2 linked regions of the Mytilus edulis genome follow. The protein of the gene in region 2 purifies or fractionates together with the protein of the main gene of each other region. This does not show direct contact. Links are inferred from orthologs where the notes say so. Each region holds a gene or a part of one and is shown on either strand. Other genes may lie near its edges. The genes, in order: polyadenylate-binding protein 1-like and eukaryotic translation initiation factor 4 gamma 1-like.

Region 1 (10,587 bases), on a different chromosome or scaffold from region 2:
CAGAAAAGTTGAAAATATGCATTTTTTCACAAAATTTTACCAAAAAATTACAAATTTGGCTGACATGCAATCTTCACTAAAATGAAGCTTAAACCAAGTTCTATCAATGTTATATATGAAAATTAATGAAAAATGCATGATTGTATTCATATTCAGGCTCTGAAATGTGGTGATTTCGCTGATTTTTGAAAGATTTTACAACGCTTAACAACCAAAAAATTGTGTGTCTGTTACCATGGCAACCACTCATATTTTCCCACTCAAAATTATTTTTTAAGCGTTTTTCACGTATTGCTTCTACTAGGCCAAATATAGATAAAATCTGAAACCCCCCATGTATCACATGTATATGGCACACTGCCTGGTTCTTATAAAGAGCTGTACTTAACACTATATTAATGAAACCCGTTGGATATAAGATATGTGAACGGATTGATAAAAAGTTCCAGGTTAGGGTGGGGTTGACGCCAACAAACTAGTTTAGCTCCGCCACATTCTGTATCATGCGCCTGTCCTAAGTCAGGAACCTGTAAATGACCTTTAGTTTTCTGGTTTGAATTTCTTTTAACATGACATTTCGGGGCCTTTTATAGCTGACTATGTGGTATGGGCTTTGCTCATTGTTGAATGTCTTACAGTTATTAAATTATGCATCATTTGGTCTATTGTAGTGATTTGTCTCATTGGAAATCATGTCACATCTTCTTTTTATATCAACTGTAAAGGTTAAAAATGTATATACAAAGACAAATAAAAGGAACATCATAGCAGGTATTTAAGATGATAAATCAGCCTAGAATACTGACTTCAAGATCTAGACCATCATGTATTGTTTATGAAGTTGATACGGAATATCTATCAACAAGTTGAAGGCTTTGGTTTCGTCCAATGAACTTTTTTCGATAAAGCACGATACATTCTTTGACATAATCCTGGTTTGTCAGCTTTGTGCTCATGCACTTGTGACGTTTTATAAAGTCTAAGTAGCAGCTGCAAGCTCTTAAATACCAAACGAGTTGTGAAAGCTGGTGAAGCGCCGTTAAGATGTCAGTTGAAATACCTCACCCCTTGTATTTATTAGGTATATATATTTTTGTTAGTTGCGAATTGATATTTGTATCAAGTTGAACCAATTCTTTCAATCTGTCTTACGATCAGAAGAAAAGTACAAATAACACATCATAGTCATAAAATTTTAGTCTGGGCAACACAGACACCACTCAATAAAATTGAGAATGGAAATGGGCAACAACCCGACCATAGAGCAGACAACAGCCGAAGGTAACTAATGGGTCTTCAATGTAGCTGGCCCCTATACAACTATGCATACTATTTCAGTGATAATGGACGTCATACTAAACTCCGAATTATACAAAAGAAACTAAAATTAAAAATGATACTAGACTAACAAAGGCCAGAGGTTACTGACTTGGGACAGGCGCAAAATTGCGGCGGGGTTAAACATGTTTTTTTTTGGAGATCTCATCTATCGTCTATATACCTCTAGCCAATGTAGAAAAACAAACGCACAACAATAAAACCGGAATGAAAACCATTGAAAATTATAAGATTTTTTGGAAATTAACACTACACAGTAAGCCATCTTGCAACCTTTCATAATTTTCATTAAAATTAAAAAATATATCCATAAATTCTTAAAGGAACCACAAAAATAGTCTAAGCCTTTTATTGAGTAATGAAATGCTACCCTTCCAAACCGATGTAAACAAATGCCAGTTCCAAGCCTTCTTTACATTTTCAAGTGAGAGGTTAAGCAAGCTATAAGTCATACAAGGCCAGGTTTAATCCACATAAAAAAATGCCGGTACCAAGTCAGGAATATGACAGTTGTCATGAAAGGTTGGCCCAAAAGGAGGGTGGAGGTGCCGGGTCCATTATGTTGGAAACATTTGTTTGATTACATAGGGAATCACAGAGGCATGGCTGGAGCAGCCCACCCTTAGGAAAGTCAGTGGGTACCCCTTATAAAAAGTTCCGGATTCGCCTGGTTGTTGTGATATCCATTCCTTTGGTGTGTTTCAGCTTTTGATTTTGCCGTTTGATGAGGGGGCAATAGGGTTAACAACACCTCAATTTTGACAAAAATAATTAACAAAAAATTTAAAATGCTGAGTACAGTTAACACCAGCTTTAATCTACACTTTTTTCCCAAATAAACACAAAAGCAATGAAAAGGGGAAATGCACACCTTCAATGAGTTCAGAACCACTGTACAAAGTGGCAGAAATGCAAAGACCTAATGAATCTTTAATAAAGATGATAAAGTTTCAGGTTGCACACAACTACCATTTCTTTTATGCTGGACACATGAACAGACAATTGAACGGATCGAAAGGCAGACGGAGTGCTAGAAAAATGACTATACGCAGTCATGAAAGGCCTCACCAGCCATGCATATTCCAATTTTTCAGACATGAATTATCGATTCTCTGGTTATGTGTATTTTTGTGTTTACGTTTTATTTCAATCAGTTGAAGCAAACCTTGGTAATCGTGCAACGTATGAAAGTGTGACAGACAGACAGAGTTATTACAATAAGGTCTAACCATTATGGTTGGGACCCTAATAAATTATGGGTACATATCGGTGTATTCATACGACTCGTAGCTTATAAGCTTTTATAAAAATGAATTGAAAAGATTACTGATTTTTATTGCAAATAATTAAAATCAATGTATAAATCACCAAGTACCCTGTAAGGTGTCACAAGATTCTTCCATCTAAACGTCCCAAGAACTTATAGCTTATATAGAAAAAGACTTTTGTCCATCTTCACATTTCTGAAGGTAGCAAGTTTGGCATCAATTTGAGAACCAAGTCCTGATGTGTCTGCCTCTTCTAACAGGTCTCACTGTTCAATTATTTTTCGAATTGCAAATTCAAACAGTACAGTTTATTTTTCCGACACAACTCCATTACGGTGCTCTGGGTCAATGTAACTTATCACACTTTCTGTATCATCTTGAATGATTTTATCTTGGGACTGACCAGGGTTTTAGCTGGGTGTGAAGTGGCCCCTGCTGTTAACTTTGGATCAATTATTAATAGGAGACAGAAATGAACTACATGGGACCCGGTTAGAAGTATAGGGGGAGCGTTGATATGTTAACAATTTTGTGGAACCTCAGCCATATATACCTCTTGATTTTTTTGTCAATTTTGATTCGTTTCGGACTTTATTGTAGTGAAGTCCATTTTATATGAACTAGTTACCCGGGTATTCCCTTCTTGCTTGAATTTAAAATGATTGCTCTCTTAAAATCAGCTTCTGGCGTAGGATTCTCTCGTTGTGTTGAAGACTCGTTTTAGTTTTGCCATGGGCTGTTTTCTGACTCTTTTGGCGGGTTGTTGCTTCTGAGACATTCCCCCGATTTCCATTCTCAATTTTATCAAGGATTACTATAAATCTCAAAGATCTCCAAATTAAGACAGTACTTAACATATTAGAGGGGGGATAGGAGGGGTCCTGATCCCGAAATCCCGGAGTTAAAAACACCGCGAAATCCCGAAATCCCGGGCTTAAAAACATGAAATCCCGAGGTCCCGAAATTCGAAAAAAAGAATTCCCGGATCCCGAAAGGGTCAATCCCGAAATCCCCAGCTTAAAAACACCCGATCCCGGAGTCCCGATAAAGGTCCTATCCCCCCTATATTAGTCCAAATAATTATGACTTCTTGAAAGGATAAAAATTATATTTAATGTGATTAGTTTGAATCTTAACTTTGACATTCTTGTAAATAACAGTGAAGATCAGTTCACAGAGACAAATTATGTCAAAAACAGTGAACACTTTAACAGTTTAAGTGTCAAGTAACATATTTATAACAGGAGTCCCATTTTCAATAAAAAAAGCAGAACAGATAACAGACAGTGGGTTAGAAACAGTTAACTATTCAATTTTATCTCAAATAACCGCAGTTAACAACACCTTAAAAAAGGTCAAAACAGGTTAACATAAAAAGGTATTACCCTCCTTTTTGATTAGCCCATACACGTAGCCAGGGGAGGGGGATTCGGACGACCCTCACCCTTGAAAACAAATAAGTTATAGTTATTGACCAAGCAAGTCGGTATATAGAATTTAATCTGCACAGCTCAGGTGACCCTTATCCCGAACGACGTTTTAGATGTGGACGATTTTTTTTTATTTAATAAGTGACGATTAAGACTTTGACAATTTGAGTACCTTCAAATCGTTGTATGAAGAAAAAAAATCATAACTGAAAGGGTTATTGAGTTTAGGTTAATTGCTTTTGAATATCTTTCCATCAATGATGTGCTTTAAATAATAGAGAAAGATAAACCGAGGAAGATGTTATATTACCTAAATTTTAAATGTTGAATAAACAGAAAATACGTTTTTCTTTCCAATCTTTTCCTCCCCCTCCCCCAAATTTCTTTGTATCTACTGTATTAATTTTTAAGACACGTCCATCTAAATGAAGTCTGATTGATCTCCAGCTAGGAATAGATATTGAAAAAGTCGTTATATTAAATTCCATTGAGTCTAAAACTAATCCAAATCAGATTTCTTTTATTCGGATATTCTTAGATTCATTTCGAATTCTTTTTTGGCGGAAATGACCAAACATTGTTTTAACTCTCTTTCTGACTTTAAAACACTGATTTAAGATTTATGTTTTACGCAAAATATAATAAAAATTTTATGTTCAAGCTAAGATGAAAAAAAAAAGGAATGAGAAACCTTTCTTTTTTCCTATTTTGAAACTACGATGTTTGTACAAAGTTAAATTTTGTCGCAATTTCAAGGCAGAAGTCGGATTCGGGGGTGGGGACGAACATGTCGTTCACCCTAGGATTCACGGGACAAAGTATCGTGTTTTGCCTTAAAATCGTCAATATTGTTTTAGTCTCGCTACACTCGGTGATATATTTTTTTAATTTGATAGAATAACGCCCCTGTCAACATCTAGGAACCGCCCCTAAAGGTAAAAATATATTTGAACTGTGCAGTATATCTGAGGTAGTTAATGCACACCTTTGCTGTGCATTATCCAGATTATAGTACAGTAAGAACAAAGAGATTTTGCCCATGTCATGTGTTAAGCACTGTTAAAGTCAACGTTCTGTTCGAATTGTGACTGTTAAAGTTGAGTTCGCGAGTCCAAATAATCCCCCTTTGGAAATTCCTGGCTGTAGACTTTCCGTTTTTAATTTTCCATGGAGTTTAGCATTTTTGTGATTTTTTTTATTCCAGTTCTTGCAGATTAAAAAAAAAAACCAGTTAAAACCAAGTTTAAAGATCTTTAAAAAAAACTTTTTTTTTACTTCTAATTTTGCAATTTTGCATTGATTCATGTTCCACTTATTACATAATGTATGTCAACATCTAACAACTCCCCACGGTAAATGTTGGTGGTCGATTAACTCATTGACCACAAACAATAGGGACCAGGATGAAAAGATTGACATGCTATTAAAAATGTTAAATAAAATTGCGTCATATACATGACCGTAAAACACGTGGATTAAAAGGGAGATAACTCTAATGAATCGGCGTAGTAATATTACACGTCACAATTTGAAAAAAAAATTGGTGGAAATTCTTTGGAAATTTTCCTTCAATAAAGAATAATTCTTCATACTGAGTACAAAAATAAAAGTTTACGTTTCGAAAATTATTGAAAGAGTAGAAAATGATAACTTGCCAGTGGTTTAATGATATCGATTTCGTTTCGATATTCTTGGATTATTTGAGTGTAGGATTATCCGGTTTCAAATGATATATAGATCGCGGCAATTTACCTCTCCTATCCCTCTTCTCAAATCGTGAGGTTGCCGTGTGTTGTGTGCGAAAAGTTGTCTCACACAACACTTAAACTGGAAGAAATTAAGCTAAAAAACTTTTAAAAAATACAAAAAAATTGAAAAAGTAACAAAACTATTAAAAAAACTACTGAAACGGTAGGTTTGTGATAGAACAGAAGCGAAAACAACTTATTTCTTCTAGCAATCAACAGCGCCATATTTTAACCTCTGAAAATGACGACTAATATCAATCCGGCTGGAGCAAGTTACCCAATGGCTTCATTGTACGTAGGAGATCTTCACCCAGATGTCACCGAAGCTATGTTGTTTGAGAAATTTTCAACAGCAGGTCCAGTCCTCAGTATCCGTGTCTGTAGAGATATGATCACAAGACGTTCACTTGGTTATGCTTATGTCAACTTTCAGCAGCCAGCAGATGGTAAGATATCCAAAGTTGTATATCTGATAACACATTTACATTTCCATGTATTCAAATTGTGATCATTCATACATTTCAATTTCACAGTCCTTAGACCAGACACATGACAGATTGTCAGTGGCAATTAAGTCAATGTACCTCCGACCTACATTTTTTGTACTCTCACATGTTTAAAAAAAAAAGTAGAATTAAAATTCAAACCCACTTAAACAATACCATTATCACAAACATAAGTCTCAAGTTAAGGTGGTCCAATTGCCCTGATGAGTTAATGCCGTATTCAGACAAGTAAAAACATCATCTTGGTTGTCAGATCAAGCTAGAAGTGTTACATGATTAAAATTTCACAAAATCAATAGTGTCTGCTGTTTAGTACATAGATAACTAGGTGATGACACTGCACGGTCTTAACCCCTTCAAATCACGAATGCATATTTTTCGTTTTTTGTTCGCACTGAATCTTCCATTTTTCCAAAAATAAATTATGTTTAAAAACACTGGCCAATCAGCTGCTGTGGCGTTGCTTTGTCATTATTGTTTTCATTCAAGACACCACTTAGGCCTTTCCGACCAACATATTTTTCCAACTGACCGTTGGAAAGCGGACTTCTATTTTCGTTGTTCTAATTTGGAATTTTAAAGTTGGAAGTACATGTACCTTAAAAAAATATTTCATTGACAAACTGTTTTCACTAACAAGAATAAATTTATATGTCATGTGTACGTACAAAATGTAAAATTCAAGGTTTTTATAAACTTGTAAAAACTAATACAAATGTACATGTTATCAGGTTTGATTGTGAATGTCTTTTCTGAAATTGAATCTTGACACAAAATATGCAGGCTGAACATACTCGTGTATCTTTTGCAGCTGAGAGAGCTCTTGACACAATGAACTTTGACACCATCAAAGGTCGACCAATAAGAATCATGTGGTCACAAAGAGATCCATCTCTGAGAAAATCTGGTGTTGGCAACGTATTCATCAAGAATCTTGACAAAAGCATTGACAATAAGGCATTATACGATACATTCTCTGCCTTTGGAAATATTTTATCCTGTAAGGTAAGAAAACTGTTAAGTAATGGATTTTATTTTTGTTGACAGGTGAGAGTAAAAAAATTATGTTGTGAAAATTGAAGGCAGGGGCGGATTCAGGAATTTGGAAAGGGGGATGCGAAGTTGTTAAAGATTGCCAAGCGGAGCGAGTCGAAAAAATTTTGGGATCTTTTTTTCCGTTAAAAAACATGAAATAAGGAGTATAAAAAATTGTCCAACCCTTACACTTTACCGCTACTATAGAATATACATGTACATGCCCCACGTCAGGAACCGTTTAAAAAGTGCATTTTACACTGTTTTCTCCCTGTTAATTGTCTATCATAAAGATAATGATAGTATATGGATTCAAAGCTACGTACTTATATATTTGATGTGGGACTTGTCAGTAAAAAATAAACATGAAACACTCCGGGCTATTTGATGAAATTAACAATTCTACCGACACAAGTTAAAATAGTCAAACAAGCAATCTTTATCCAAATGTTTGGTTGATATATTTCACCCAACAAAATTAAGGGAAGTGAGGGGTTCCAAAATAAACCAAAGGTTACAAATGAGTCTGAAATGATAACTAATTTATGAATGACGGTCGACAAATTTAGACATAAAGGCCTCACTCAGCAAGCAGATTGCAGTCTGGTCTTGAAAGTATTCAATATATCAGCTCGGCTAAACAGACGTTCAGGTCAGACATGCAAACCCTGACCTAAAAAAAATACATTTTTATTCATTATGTTCATTTAATGCTAAATAATTCTGTTGGAAATTTCCATTTCTAATATCTCACAAAAGTTGACAAGATTATTGTTTTCAGTTCAGATACGACCAGAATTCTTATTTAATTCACAAATCAGAGTCAATTTTTTTTCTCTCAAATACCTTGGACTGCCTCCTCATATCTGATGGTTTGTACCTTCGACTTTAAATCTATATATAGAGCTTATATTGACTGGGGAACATAATTTAGCTATCATGTCATTTTAAAATAGGCTTGGGCATTTGGGATTAAGCATGTTTTCGTAGGTAAATAATATTGCTGTGGATTTTTTTTTGAGTGTGTGTTAGAGTATTACTTTCTGTTTGGTTGAATTGTGAAACAGAAGTCACAACGTTCTTGCTCAATCCTGCGCCGCTTTGAAGGTATCATGGTTGTCATTCTTAGCTTTTAAAGCAATGTGTAACTGTAATTTGAATTTCAAAATGACCGAGTGACGTTTTATTTTTTATTTTTGACACAGCAGTGAACTCCACCATCATGATCATAGCAAATAACATGACTTTGACATGATTAGTAATTATCCGAGACAAATATCTTTATAAGTAAAGAATTGTCGCTTGAAAATCAAATACACGGGAAATGGCAAAGTTCACGAAGTCTAGTCTAATTAATCATTTTACAAAAAAAAAAAGCAAAGGAAGGGGGGGGGGGTGCCCTCTATGCCCCCCTCTTGATCCACCATTTCAATAGGTGGGTATCTCCACAGATAAAAATGACTAAGAACCATGTTACATGAACACAAAAAAAATTAAAATGAAAAAATAAGGCCGTCTAAATATAAAGATCTTTGTAAAATAAAGGAATTTATCACAGGAATTTATCACAGGCATTTGTTTCTGTCAAAAATTTTCAATGTGTTTGCTTCAACCGATATTTATTAACTTTCCCTTGCATTTTTCATGCATAGTTAAACATACACCAGTTTGTGGGTAATTGATTTATCTCTGCAACAAAACATGGTTCATGTCCCTTGAGAAAACCCCTCAAACAGAGTAACACACTTATGTCGAAAATTATTGACCTTTTCCAGACCATTGAATTTTTAATTCCAAAACTTCTGGTTAACTTCAGAAGTTTATAATATCACCTTGCAACCCCATTGGTCACATTTTCTAGTTACTGGTAACTAGTATAATTAAACAGGTAACCAGATTAATTTGACTAATCAGATTGCACAATCATATTAACTTCCTAAGTTGACCAGAAGTTTTGGAGTTACAAATTCAATTTTCTCGAAAAAGGTCAATAATTGAATAACTTTCGTTATACATGCGTTATTCTGTTACTATATGTAAGTTTTGGAACATTTATTTTTAGATTGTCTGTGACGAGCATGGATCACGTGGATACGGATTTGTACATTTTGAGACTGAGGAAGCCGCCAGAAATGCTATTGAAAAAGTAAACGGCATGTTGTTGAATGGAAAGAAAGTGTAAGTTTTCTTTGTAATCATTGGTTGTGTATAGAGTATATAAATGCGAAAATTAAAAGCTCAGTTTGAAAAAGTTGAAAACTTGTGCTTTTGATTTCTTCATTATTATGCCCCTTTGTACTTGTACATAGGGCCAATTAAAATTAAATGGTAGATTTTCATCCCCGCCCGCCCCTTTGAAATCTTCCCGCCCCGATTTTTTTTATTTTTGAAAAAAATACGATTTCCGGATTTTGTTCATTTCCGATACCAGTATAAACCGTCGATAATTTCGTTTCATCTAAAACTTCCTGTTTCAGATTTCGGTTTTCGTATTTCTTAGCGTATTCTTACTGAATGATTCAGTCGATATATTCTGCTGATCTTTGATGACAACATCATTTACCGAGAATAGAGATTGATTACGAGAAGGGCTTGAAATATTCGGGTTACAAGTAATACGCTGTGCCCAAGAACGCAAATCGCCGTATGTCACACATGTTTGTGAGTAAAACAACTTGGATTTATTTTATTAAATGACTTTGTGTGAAGAAATTTGGACTGTGAATAAAACACAAAAACGTTAGAATCGTTGAACACATTTGACTGGAATAAAGAAATTAGCACAAGCATGAACCTTTTAGATTGGTGACCGTACATTGAGTTAAACAAATCGACAAACATATGCATTTTTAATTTATTAATTGATAGCAAGCTCTTAGATTTAGATTTAGCCTTAGTTTCGTTTTTTTGCAGAAATAGAGAAAACATCCTCTGTCCCAATACCCACGATAGAGTCATTAAACAACTTTATTTTCTACATTGTAATTATATTTGCATCTTGCATATTAAGGACCAATCCTATTATTTAAACACTGTTTGAGTTTTCATTTTATTCTGTACTTATGGTACTTGTGTTGCATACCAATGCATTTGCTTCATTTTATTAGGACAACAAAACATTGCAGAGAAAGCAAAATACATTTGATGTAGGTAGTCCAACTGAAGAGAACATTTCTCCACACTTCTGCTGTTTACTATAAAATAGGTTTCTAAACGGCAATTACATGTAGAACAGATCAGAGATATATATTTATGAATTTGA
Region 2 (10,992 bases):
GAAAACTGATCATGTCATCACATTAATTTTTTCATAACATTTTATCAAGTTGTATTGAACATTATTATCATACTTGACTTTTTATACTAATGTGTGCTATGTATATGTTTTTTTTTAGTTTGAGTTGTTTTACACTTGTCATTTAGGGCAAATTTATGGCGGACTATGCGGTATGGGCTTTGTTCATTGTTGAATGCCATACAGTGGCCTATAGTTGTGAATTCTGTGTCATTTGGTCTCTTGTAGAGTTGTCTCATTAGCAATCATTCCACATCTTTTTTTTTAAGTATTATAATGTTATTTCTATATAAATCTTACCATCATTGGCTGCATTTGTCCTCCAGGCTGAGACTGAACAATAATCTGTGTTCCATAACTATTCATGTTGGTACTTGGAGGCATGAACATAACAGTTGGATACATCGGATTCTGTCCCTGTCCTGGCATCTGCATCCTCTGCTGTTGAGGAGGCTGCATAGGCCGTTGTGGGTAAAAGGGCTGAAATAATAAACAGTGTTAATGATAAACAAGAGTCGATAAATTGAAATGACTGGTCTGTTTTACAGATTTTTTGTATGAATATTGTCAAGAAGAGGTTTTATATAATGCACAAACTTGTGAATGCAAAATATCTTCTTTTTGGAATAATATTTACCAATTTGCACGACATAAACCTTTGATTCAGATTGTACAAAAATGATTACGAGGAATAATTAGTTCAAGGTCATAATTCATGTACATGTATTAAACTTCAAACTATTAATCTTGCAAAGTAATTTTCTGTAAAATTAAAATATTTTATCTTGATTTAAAAAGCTGCCCAAAAGCATAAAAGCAATTTAATTACTGTAGAGCAGACCATGCAAGGAACTATGCTGTAAGCTACAAATGTATATACATACTGCTGGTGTCCTTTGTTGTTGTTGTTGATACATGTTTTGTTGCTGAGCCAGGGCTTGGCCTTGTACCAACTGTTGATTATTCAATTGTTTACTTATATCATGGGGATAGTTCTGTTGTGGGTTCACCTGTTGTTGAAGAAATTGCTGTAAAAAAGTAGATACCCATTTTATCATTTGGTCTGGTGGACAGTTATCTCATACGCGATAACACGTTATTTTTTTCATATTTTCCCCATCATGCAGCATCAAATAGATTAGAGTAGAAAACTGAAATTTATATCCAAGATGTTAATTAAGAGCTTCCCAATATAAGTGCATATTTTTCTAATTTTTATGCACAGTACAACTTACAATTCACACATGAGCAAAAAAAGGTAATTGTCTCATTTAGTACAAATATTACATATAAATATATTCTGCTAACTTTTGAATATTAAATCAAGTGTTAAACATCAATGGCAAAATAGTACATAAAAATTATAATAAATACAAATAATAAGTTCAATGCTTCTCTTACGAAAAAATACATTTTATTTGCATTGAGTGTGTAAGTTAAAGTAATATCTTTAGCTAGCTTACTTGCTCCAGTCTTCATGCTAAACATTTGAATCCACAAGCCTGAAGCTCAATTTTAACAAATTTTTAGTTGGATTTTGTTGGCGTGAAGAGAAGAATTTCACAAGCCATTGCTGTAGGACTTGTGGTTAAGCGTGAAGTCATAATTAGTTAAAATATACTACCCTCCTTTGTTAGTAGCCGTGTCCTACAGACAGATAGATTGGTTATATGTCGGACTAGTCTACTCTTAAAGAAGGGTGGTTTACCTAACCTACTAATGGCTATGGTTCAGCTAGCAAGCAAGCTAACCAAAGTTATTACCTTTACCTACTTACTCAATGCAATCAGCTCTTAACAAAATATACACATCGATACATACCTGTTGCACCTGTTGTGGATTAAAATACCCTTGTTGAGAAATGTAAAACTGTGGCTGCTGTTGTTGCTGTTGTACTTGCTCCTCTTGTGGTACCCCTAAAACAAATCATGCCTTAACATTATTTCATTGATCTTTTGGACAATGTCTGCGAGACATACAAGTATCACAAACTCGCAAGGGGTCATTCCTCATGTGTAAATACACACATATTCTATGTATGTAGCAGAATCTTGAACAACTTTAGAATCCATTGGCCCTGGGCATGAAGTTCAATTTATTGGCCTATAGAGATTTTTTTAATCCTGAGCTGGTGGGTATGGGTATGTGGTACATGTAACTCAGAAGACAGACGTAAACTTTTTTTTTAACAGTCAATTTTCTTCCCATAACATCTGTGTGGTATGGATGTCCTATCAGTCTAGCTGTGCCAACGGATAAATCATTAACAAAAGATCATCATGTTTTAATGAAACAACTAATTTTGCAATCTTCATCTGATGATGTACACTGGTGTTACAATGCATTGAAGTGAAGCTTGCACAAAAAGTTGTTCCTCCGAAATAATATGATTTTAGTCTACAAAGTCGATCATACATGCTTCCATTATTTAAAAAAAAAAAAAAATAGTTGTCCGTCTTATAAAAGATCAAAATGGAAAATTACAGATACCGAGAGTGAGCTGAAATACCCAGGTGACAACATAAAGCTTTTGACAGTTGAGGAGCAAAGTAACAGATCGATGGAAAGGTTACTTCCTCATCGTAGGTTACTCAGGAGCACAAGTCCAGATACTACAAAATATAAACCCATATTACCCCCACAAGAATGAAAATATTCTAATTAAAGCAGATCCTATAATAAGCATGCAGCCATACTGTACCATAAACATATATACTTACAATTGTTATAATTTGGTGTTCCTCTTGGACTGTATAAGGTTAAGGAAAAGGACTATGAGTTTAAATATTTAAATCTTCCCATTTCTAGGCTAGCACAACAAAGCTTTTAATTTGCAACCTGGTACCCGCAACATAATACAAGTTCTTAATCTAGAATAGTATATCTCTGACACCCTACCATACAAGGAACAAAGGGAATAAACTTACCCTTTTTACTGACACAATTTCCCATAAAGCATGAGCTACAAAAGGGAATAGGTTTAAGAATCATATCGCTTTTTAAATACATTTGCAGATGTGCATATACCTTATTTTTAACTATTATTGACGTGGAAATACCTGTTATGTAATTGCATTAATTCACATGGACATATCATCTTTACACTTTGTAGATATTATAATATTCTTGAACTAAAACATTGAATGAATAAGGTTGGATCTAACATTAAAATGACATTTTGTTCTCTTAGGATTAAAGAACACGAACTAAATATTGGCGAAGGGTTTTAAAGCTGACATGGTAACAAATGTGAACAATTTTTAAGGTTCCATCAATCAGATTAATAATCGGGAGGGACAGTTTCATGTACTACATATAAGGTCAACCAACAAAAATCAAGATTTTAAAAACTGCCCAAAACTGGTTTCAAGAGGTTGGATATCAGATTTTTTTTAACAAATAACCAATAGCTCATTTTTTAAATTACATGTGTGTATGTACATAAAAAATAAGTTGGTAAGATTGGTTAGATTCGTAACAGGAAATGTTAAACACGATTTTTACTTCCATAAGATGCAACTTCAAATTACCTTAACATTACATACATGTAGATATGCCAAGTAGTCTCCAAATTGAAAGCTTATTTTTTACCTTATCATAATGTGACAATGTCTAAAAATAAATCTGACATTGTACTTTCTGAAAATGCCTGTTTTTCCAATAAAATGCCCTGAACACAGATCTATACAAATACAGGTCAGATTGAGGTTAAAATATGTAACAACAAAATACTCATAAAAGAAAAAGAAATATCTCTGCTACTGGTATAAAGAAATTATATATAAAACCATAACTGGGAGTAACAAACAAATGTACAATAAATAAGGCATCATAAACAACAAAACAAGAATTCTTACTTTCTTTCTGGAATTTGATCATATCTATTAATCAGTGTTGCTTTTCATTATATTCAGCTTCCATTGTATGTTATTATTTTCACTTTTGTTCATCATTATAACAAAGACTATTGTGTATCTACTAATAATTTGTGTATTTGGCAAATATCCAATATCTGACAAATATTACACATCACCACATGTCAATAATCCTAAATATCATTTAAGGGTTATTTTAAAGAAAATTCACAAGAAACATTCCAAAATTTCCAAATTCATTTTGATATTTAACTAAACACTGTTGATAACACACTGTAACACTGTTTCGTGTTTTCATCTTTTCCATGATGTCGTAATTAATGTCATGTGATATGTGCACGCTCAAAGAATGTGGTTCCTCGTTCGAAAAGCCCCGCCTTCATAACGAGCTGTCGGAACATTATGTTACAGAAAAAAACAAAACAAACAACAAAAACACAATTTTAAATCAGATGTGCAATCAATAGTTCAATAAACTTGGATATTTCTCACACAAGTTGTCCCGAAAACTGCAAACGTGACAGGACGAAAAACCGGCATCTGTTCTCGTGCAAACTGACATGAAATAAAATGAATTAACCCAAGTAGTACATAAAATAAATTGTTGACTATGCATAAAAAGGATACGTTACACTTCTTTGCTGTGTATGTCCTGTTATTTGAGATGGTGTAGGTGATTTCACTTTTGGTACATTCGACATTTCATTCAACGTGAAAAGGAAGCGGTTTAGTCCTGGAAAAGGACCCTTCCGATGCTTGTTTCCCAAGCTCTGTCTCCTACATAAATTGAAACAAAATCATTTTTGTTAGAGTTCGTGTATTCAATTTTCATACTCACTAGTTTTTAGATTATTATGATGGTCAGATAATCAACGATGGCATAAGATTGTAGTCATGTAAATAAGTATGGCTACCTTGTTAAGGGTCTGCAAGGAGACGTAGCTCGGCTATTTCCGGTTACTTTACGGAGGTTACCGGCAAGGGTCAAAGGTTACCATAAATTCTGTTGTTTGAAGTTGCAACTAGTCAGTGTTTTTTTTTAAATTCCGGATTTAAAGTAATTAATAATAACAGAAGGTAATCTGAGTTTCTTTGTCATGATCTTTTGACATCAGTGACAAATGATGAAGGTAAAGAGAAATCGTTGAAACGTTAAAAAGGTTGAGTGCAAGAAAAAGGGGGGTATTTGGTACACTCACAATCACAAGACCGTAAACATTCGCATTAAAAAAGAAAAAAAAATGAAAATATCAGTATACAAACGTTAAATATTGAATAAGAATGTGAAGTCATATGTTATAGCACTAACCCGTGTTAAGAGAGAGCCATATTTCTTGCACATATTAAACAGTTGCAGATCTAGAATTTTTCGTAAGTGGGGGCCACTGGCTGCTTAAGAGGGGGCCCCACGATACACCTTATCGCTATTTGTCATCCATTACTGGATATCACATAGGTTCCCGTAGAATATTCACGTCATAAAACAAAATATCTGAGCCACAATCGAAAAGTGATTGTTGTTGACGTCAAAAGTTCAAGCGGCCGGGTCAGCCGGGAATAGCGTTAAGGTGTATTCCTTATATAATCAACCAAATTTTTTTCTCAAAAGGGGGAGCCCCACTGACCCCCCTCTAAATCCGCCTCCGCATAAAAGACACTCTTGTAGATTTCAAAAAAAGAGAAGCACTCACACCGGCAAAGTGGAGAGGGACTAATATAAGTTGCAATTACTTAAGATCCAATTATCATGTGTGATTCGGTGTCTATGTTGCAAGTTGTTGATTTGTTGATACACGTGTATATATATAAATATATGAAGTGCCTAGAAAATCAACCTAACAATGTTCATGATGTTAGAGTAGATTTGATTCTTTTCTTCCTCCCCAGCCGGGGCTGGAACCTGTACTTTTCACTTCATACTTCTATGACAACACCGCCTATCATTTTTGTATAGCCTAGTTGGTTCAGTGGTCTTAGAGCGTTGTGCATAGTGCAAGGCGATTTGGTGCCACAATATCTCATGAGTTTGAATCACGACAAGGGAAGAACAACAAATTTGCAAAAGCAAATTTATAAATCTAACATTGGTTAGGCTAATATTTAGACAAATTATATAAATAAATTAAAATATATATATCACAAATGGTTGTTATTTTATTACAATCATGACAATATCAAACCATTCATTGTTAAAGATTTCAACAAGGGTATTAGCTGCTTCTTAAAATACATGTAATTGCATAGTTTATACTTTTATAAATAGGTTGTGACTGTCTTTTTCATTAGGTCCATTAATAATAAGAAATTTTTTTTAACATGGGACAAGGATTTAGAAAAAAAATTGTGCATTACTAGACATGCTAGAGTACTACATGTACTAAATTTTTCGTGCTTAAAACTTCAAACTCTCCAACACTGTTTGGTAAAATCAAGGAATTGTATGTTAAGAAAGTAAACACAGGTGACAGCTTATATCAATAGTCTCTTCTCACAGAGCAATTATCCATGTCTGTCTTGTCAGAACTATGATATTAAGAAACCAAATAATGACAGAGGTCCTGTCATGTCTGTGGTCAGAGATTTTGACTTTTCAAGATTTCATTTCAAGATTTCATTTCAAGATTTCATTTCAATGCATTTTCAACTTTGTATTTAATATATTTTCTTATAATATATGTAAAGGGATATTGCAAGAATATAGGTGAATATTGTCGTCAGTAAATTTTAAGATTGCATAAACTTGCATTGTTAATTTTCAAACTTTTCACACAGCTGAGACCAGATAACGATAGTTAAAAAATTTGTAAAGAGAAAAAAACTCTGTTTCACTATTATTAATGTTGTTTTTCAGTCTGATTAAATATTTTTTAGAAATTGTAATTTTTTTTAATGACCTTGACTGGCTATACAGCCCTCAGGACTATTGCATCAGCCTCTCCATATTTGTACTCTTTTAAATATGTTAGCCTGGAACTATATGGTCAATATTATCAGTACTTCCACAGTGTCCATTTGGCCAATCTTGAAATAACTTAAAATTTCACAGTATGACGACTAATGCAGGACACAAATTTCAGAGATACAATTAGAACAATTAACCAAATATATTTTAGCAGGCAATTAATGAATGGGTATTATTGATTTTAATATTTTATCAGTGTAAGATCTCCAGGAAGTATATTTGCAATCCCCATGGGGCAGGGAACTGACAGAAGTGTCATGTTGAGGACATACTTAGCATGAGGATAGCTAATTACATAAGGTCATGACCCCTGGCATGGAGATGATTTATTATGTAAAATTCGATTACATGGTTTGTTATTTTATTGACCTGGAAGGGGTCATATTTCATAACTGTCTTCACTAGACCATTAAACTGGTTTTTGTAACTGGTTTTCTTGAAATAATCTATATTGTCATATTTTTCATATTAGAGTTGATGACATATGATTTTTTTAGATCTTTTAAAAAGTAGATATTTTGATTTCAAGGGGAAAATGGATGACATGCATTAAAATTTGAGAAAATGTTAGCATGCTGTTTTATGATTTAAAAGGAGAAAACCTTCTAAGTAAATAGTTTCTTATACTTTTGCATTATATATTAAAAAAAACCATAGAAATTACTAACATTATGATCTGTTTAAGTTTTTTAGGGGTAAATTCCTTCAAAAGTTAAAATAGTAGCTAACTTTACTTTAAGATATAAAAAATGCATAATCAATGTTTTTTTCGTCTAAAGATGTTTATTTGTATTATATCAGTATCAAAAGAAAAAATAAATAAAACAGCATAAACTTAAATTAAAGTATTTAAAAAATATTTCCCAATATTATATAATTTTCAAGTGATTAAAAATAATAACTACCATTGGATTGTTAAAGATCTCAATTTAGCAACCAGACCAGTATATTTATACATGTGTGAACAGGCTTTTGAAACAACCCCACAACAATTTTTTGTTAGATAATTTAGAACATTTTTTGCATAATGACCTGAATACTATTATTTAATTGTGACCTTTTAGGTCAATGGTTAGTTAAATTAAGGACATTATACATGTATAGATGTACAGTAATAAATTACCAAAATATATTGTTATTGATTTTAATTGACCACAGGTACTATATCATGTATATGCATAATATGTTTTGCCACAAGATATATATTTAAAAATGTACTGTTTAATAAAATAGAGATATATATATAAATGTGCGTAAATACATGTATCTACACTTTGACATATCTAATACCAAATCAAGAATATACTTAAAATGAAAATGACAAAGTTTTGTTGTATTTTTGTTCTCTTTTTTTTTTTGAAATATGGTGTAAGAGCCAGTGAATTATCAAAATGAAGCATTATTTAAATATTTGCTTTACACAGAAATTTCTGACTAATCCAAAGACTAGTGCTGATGAAAGGTCTAAGATTCCTCCTCCCTTTTCTCTCTCTACTTTTAAAAGTCTTACTTCAAGAGTTATGGGGAAATTTCACTGTTAATTACACCTTATGTAAGAATCCGGGGTTTTGATTGGTTGATAGCCAGTATTTTTCACCAATTTACTGTTATCAAATGAATATCCTTCATTTTTAACGCCGCCGGGGTATTTGCTAAAAGGATATGCCTTTTTTACCCTCTCTGCCGTGGTATTTGCAAAAAATACTCTATCCGACTGGACGCTTGTAACGTCACGGTCAACAATGCGTTTTAGTATATTAACATTCGGTGTAATTAAACAGATATATCATGTTATTGAGGGGTATTTGCGAAAAATACCAGTCTTGAGAATGAATTTCCCTCGCCTTACGGCTCGAGAAATTTTACATTCTCTCGACTGGTATTTTTCGCAAATACCCCTCCTTAACATGATATATCTGTTCAAAATTTTTGTTTCACAAACCCCATTGGTGTGACTTTTTAGGTTACCATTTAGTCAGTCTCACATGTCTCAGCCAAGTCAGTCAGTTGTGGAATACATTCTTACATACATATATATATATATATAGTCATCAATATTTATTATACATCTGCATTAACATTTATTATTGCTATTTTGTGCATTTTTCCTTTGATCTTTTTTTGTGATAATTTTTCATATCATGCTACTCGCTTGAGATGGAAAATTATCGCTAGAAACTAAGGCGGCATGTGGCGTTACTAATGAAATTGACATGAAATTGACAATGTCGTCATAGGTAAAATAGCGACAAACAGATTATCATTTATCCCGGCTCAAGCGAGAAAATCAATCTCGTTGAGATGATCAAAGATAATCTATAATTCTCTCAACTGAATGCACAATAAGAAGATGTTGTTTGAAAGCCAATGAGACAACTCTCCATCCAAGTCTCAATTTGGAAAAGAAAACCATTATAGGTCAAGGTACGATCTTCAACACAGAGCCTTGGCTCACACTTAACAGTAAGCTATAAAGGGCCCCAAAAATTATAAGTGTACAACCGTTTAAACGGGAAAACTAACAGAATCTAGTGTAAAAATAAACAAAAAGGAGAAACACAAACGACAACTACTGAATATCAGGTCCCTGACTTCGGACAGCTGCAAACAAATGCAACAGGTTTAAACGTTTTAATTAGTACCAACCTTCACCCTTACCCGCAACAATAGACGTATTTAAACTTGTATGCAAATTTGTACGCCATTACGTAGAATCACACAGGTTCCTGTAAACTTTGACATAACAATTCAAAAAATTTGACGTCGCATGAAAAAGTGATTGTTGCTTGACGTCAAAAGGTTATTCGGAGGCGATCTACGGTCATTTGGAGACAAAATTCAGCTAAATACCAAAAGTGTAAATACGTTTATAGTGGAACATCACAACATAGAAAACACACTATAAGATATCAATTGAAATGGCTTAACATGCATTTTAATGTGAACATGATTTAGTAGCCATTTCAATCAAGTTTTTAGATATAAATGATAATCTGTTTTTAATTTTTTTTATTAGACGGTTAATGGTGGATATAAAACCATGCTAATCTGAAAACTGTGATTGAATTAAGACTGTAGTTGCCAATTTGCCAGCTGCCATTGCAAGGTAATATTTTTATTCCTTGCTAAAAATGTTGGTTAAGCATATAAAGCTTGTGTTTATATATAATTTTTTTCAAGTATGGAATTTTTTCATGTAATATAGAAATAAAGAAGATTTAGTTTGATTATCAGCAACACACATTTCCTCCAGAACCAAGGAAAACAAGTTAATAACTTTAAGTCAACATACAGTCTTCAAAAATGAGCAAAACAAATACTGCATAGCAAGCTATAAAAGGTTCTGAAATAACAAATATAAAACAATTCAAACATTAAAATAAATGGCCTAATTTACAAATTTACATTGCTGTCTGAACATCTCAATTTGTCAACTCTTTTAAGGCCCTGACCACTAGCTTGTCCAGCTACTTTGAATTAATTAGCAATGTTGCTGTCCATCAGATTTTCAGTTCTGAACTTTAAAGCAGAAAGGCTAGATATATCTCTGTATCAACTACATGTATATATACTTCAGAGAAGAATTCATACAGGAACTTCATGATCAGTTCATGAAGTTACTGAAAAAATATAAAGAAAAGATGATGTGATATGAGTGATAAGGAGGTTGAATCTGTACAATTTTAAAATTATTTAAATAAATGTCTCATTTCAACCATTGTCTGCTTTTTTTTAAAAAAAGCTTTTGAGAATGTAGTTTACTCTTTTGTGTATAAGTATAATGCTGTAAATGCTTAGATATTGTATCGAATATGAAACAATTTTTTTGTGAAAATACCTGCATAATTATCTGCTTTTAATAAATTTATGCTTATTTCAGGCATTGTTAAACATGCCACATTTGTATCCATGGTTACTTGGAGGTCATCACTATGACAGCATACATAACCTGACAAAAGGTAACTGTAGTGATGGAGTACGATGGTTGTATGTGTTACTTGGTGACTGTGTGACAAATTCAAATGAATATGCATCTGATATTTTTGGATTGCTGTCCATTGCATTATGGGTATTTGTTAGTACACCGTAAGTATAAACTGAGTTCAGAAATAAGATTATCTTTTCACATAAGATTTT

Evidence for each region.
Region 1: the proteins of eukaryotic translation initiation factor 4 gamma 1-like (region 2) and polyadenylate-binding protein 1-like purify together in Drosophila melanogaster (affinity purification with western blotting; 3 studies listed by BioGRID, with this or other methods). This does not show direct contact. The link is inferred for Mytilus edulis from reciprocal best matches to the Drosophila melanogaster genes eIF4G1 and pAbp.

The regions. Positions count from the first base shown.
Region 1 is NC_092355.1:9,890,903-9,901,489, reverse strand, and holds the start of polyadenylate-binding protein 1-like, read left to right. Parts: upstream 1-5,769; 5' UTR 5,770-6,025; coding exon 6,026-6,230; intron 6,231-7,101; coding exon 7,102-7,295; intron 7,296-9,387; coding exon 9,388-9,503; intron 9,504-10,587.
Region 2 is NC_092356.1:41,477,895-41,488,886, reverse strand, and holds the start of eukaryotic translation initiation factor 4 gamma 1-like, read right to left. Parts: upstream 4,865-10,992; 5' UTR 4,808-4,864; exon of another isoform or gene 4,732-4,807; intron 4,671-4,731; 5' UTR 4,595-4,670; coding exon 4,521-4,594; exon of another isoform or gene 3,898-4,520; coding exon of another isoform or gene 3,876-3,897; intron 2,981-3,875; exon of another isoform or gene 2,971-2,980; coding exon of another isoform or gene 2,946-2,970; intron 2,768-2,945; coding exon 2,739-2,767; intron 1,935-2,738; coding exon 1,840-1,934; intron 1,047-1,839; coding exon 903-1,046; intron 499-902; coding exon 319-498; intron 1-318. Other genes in the region: lysosomal amino acid transporter 1 homolog, read left to right, coding at 10,748-10,941.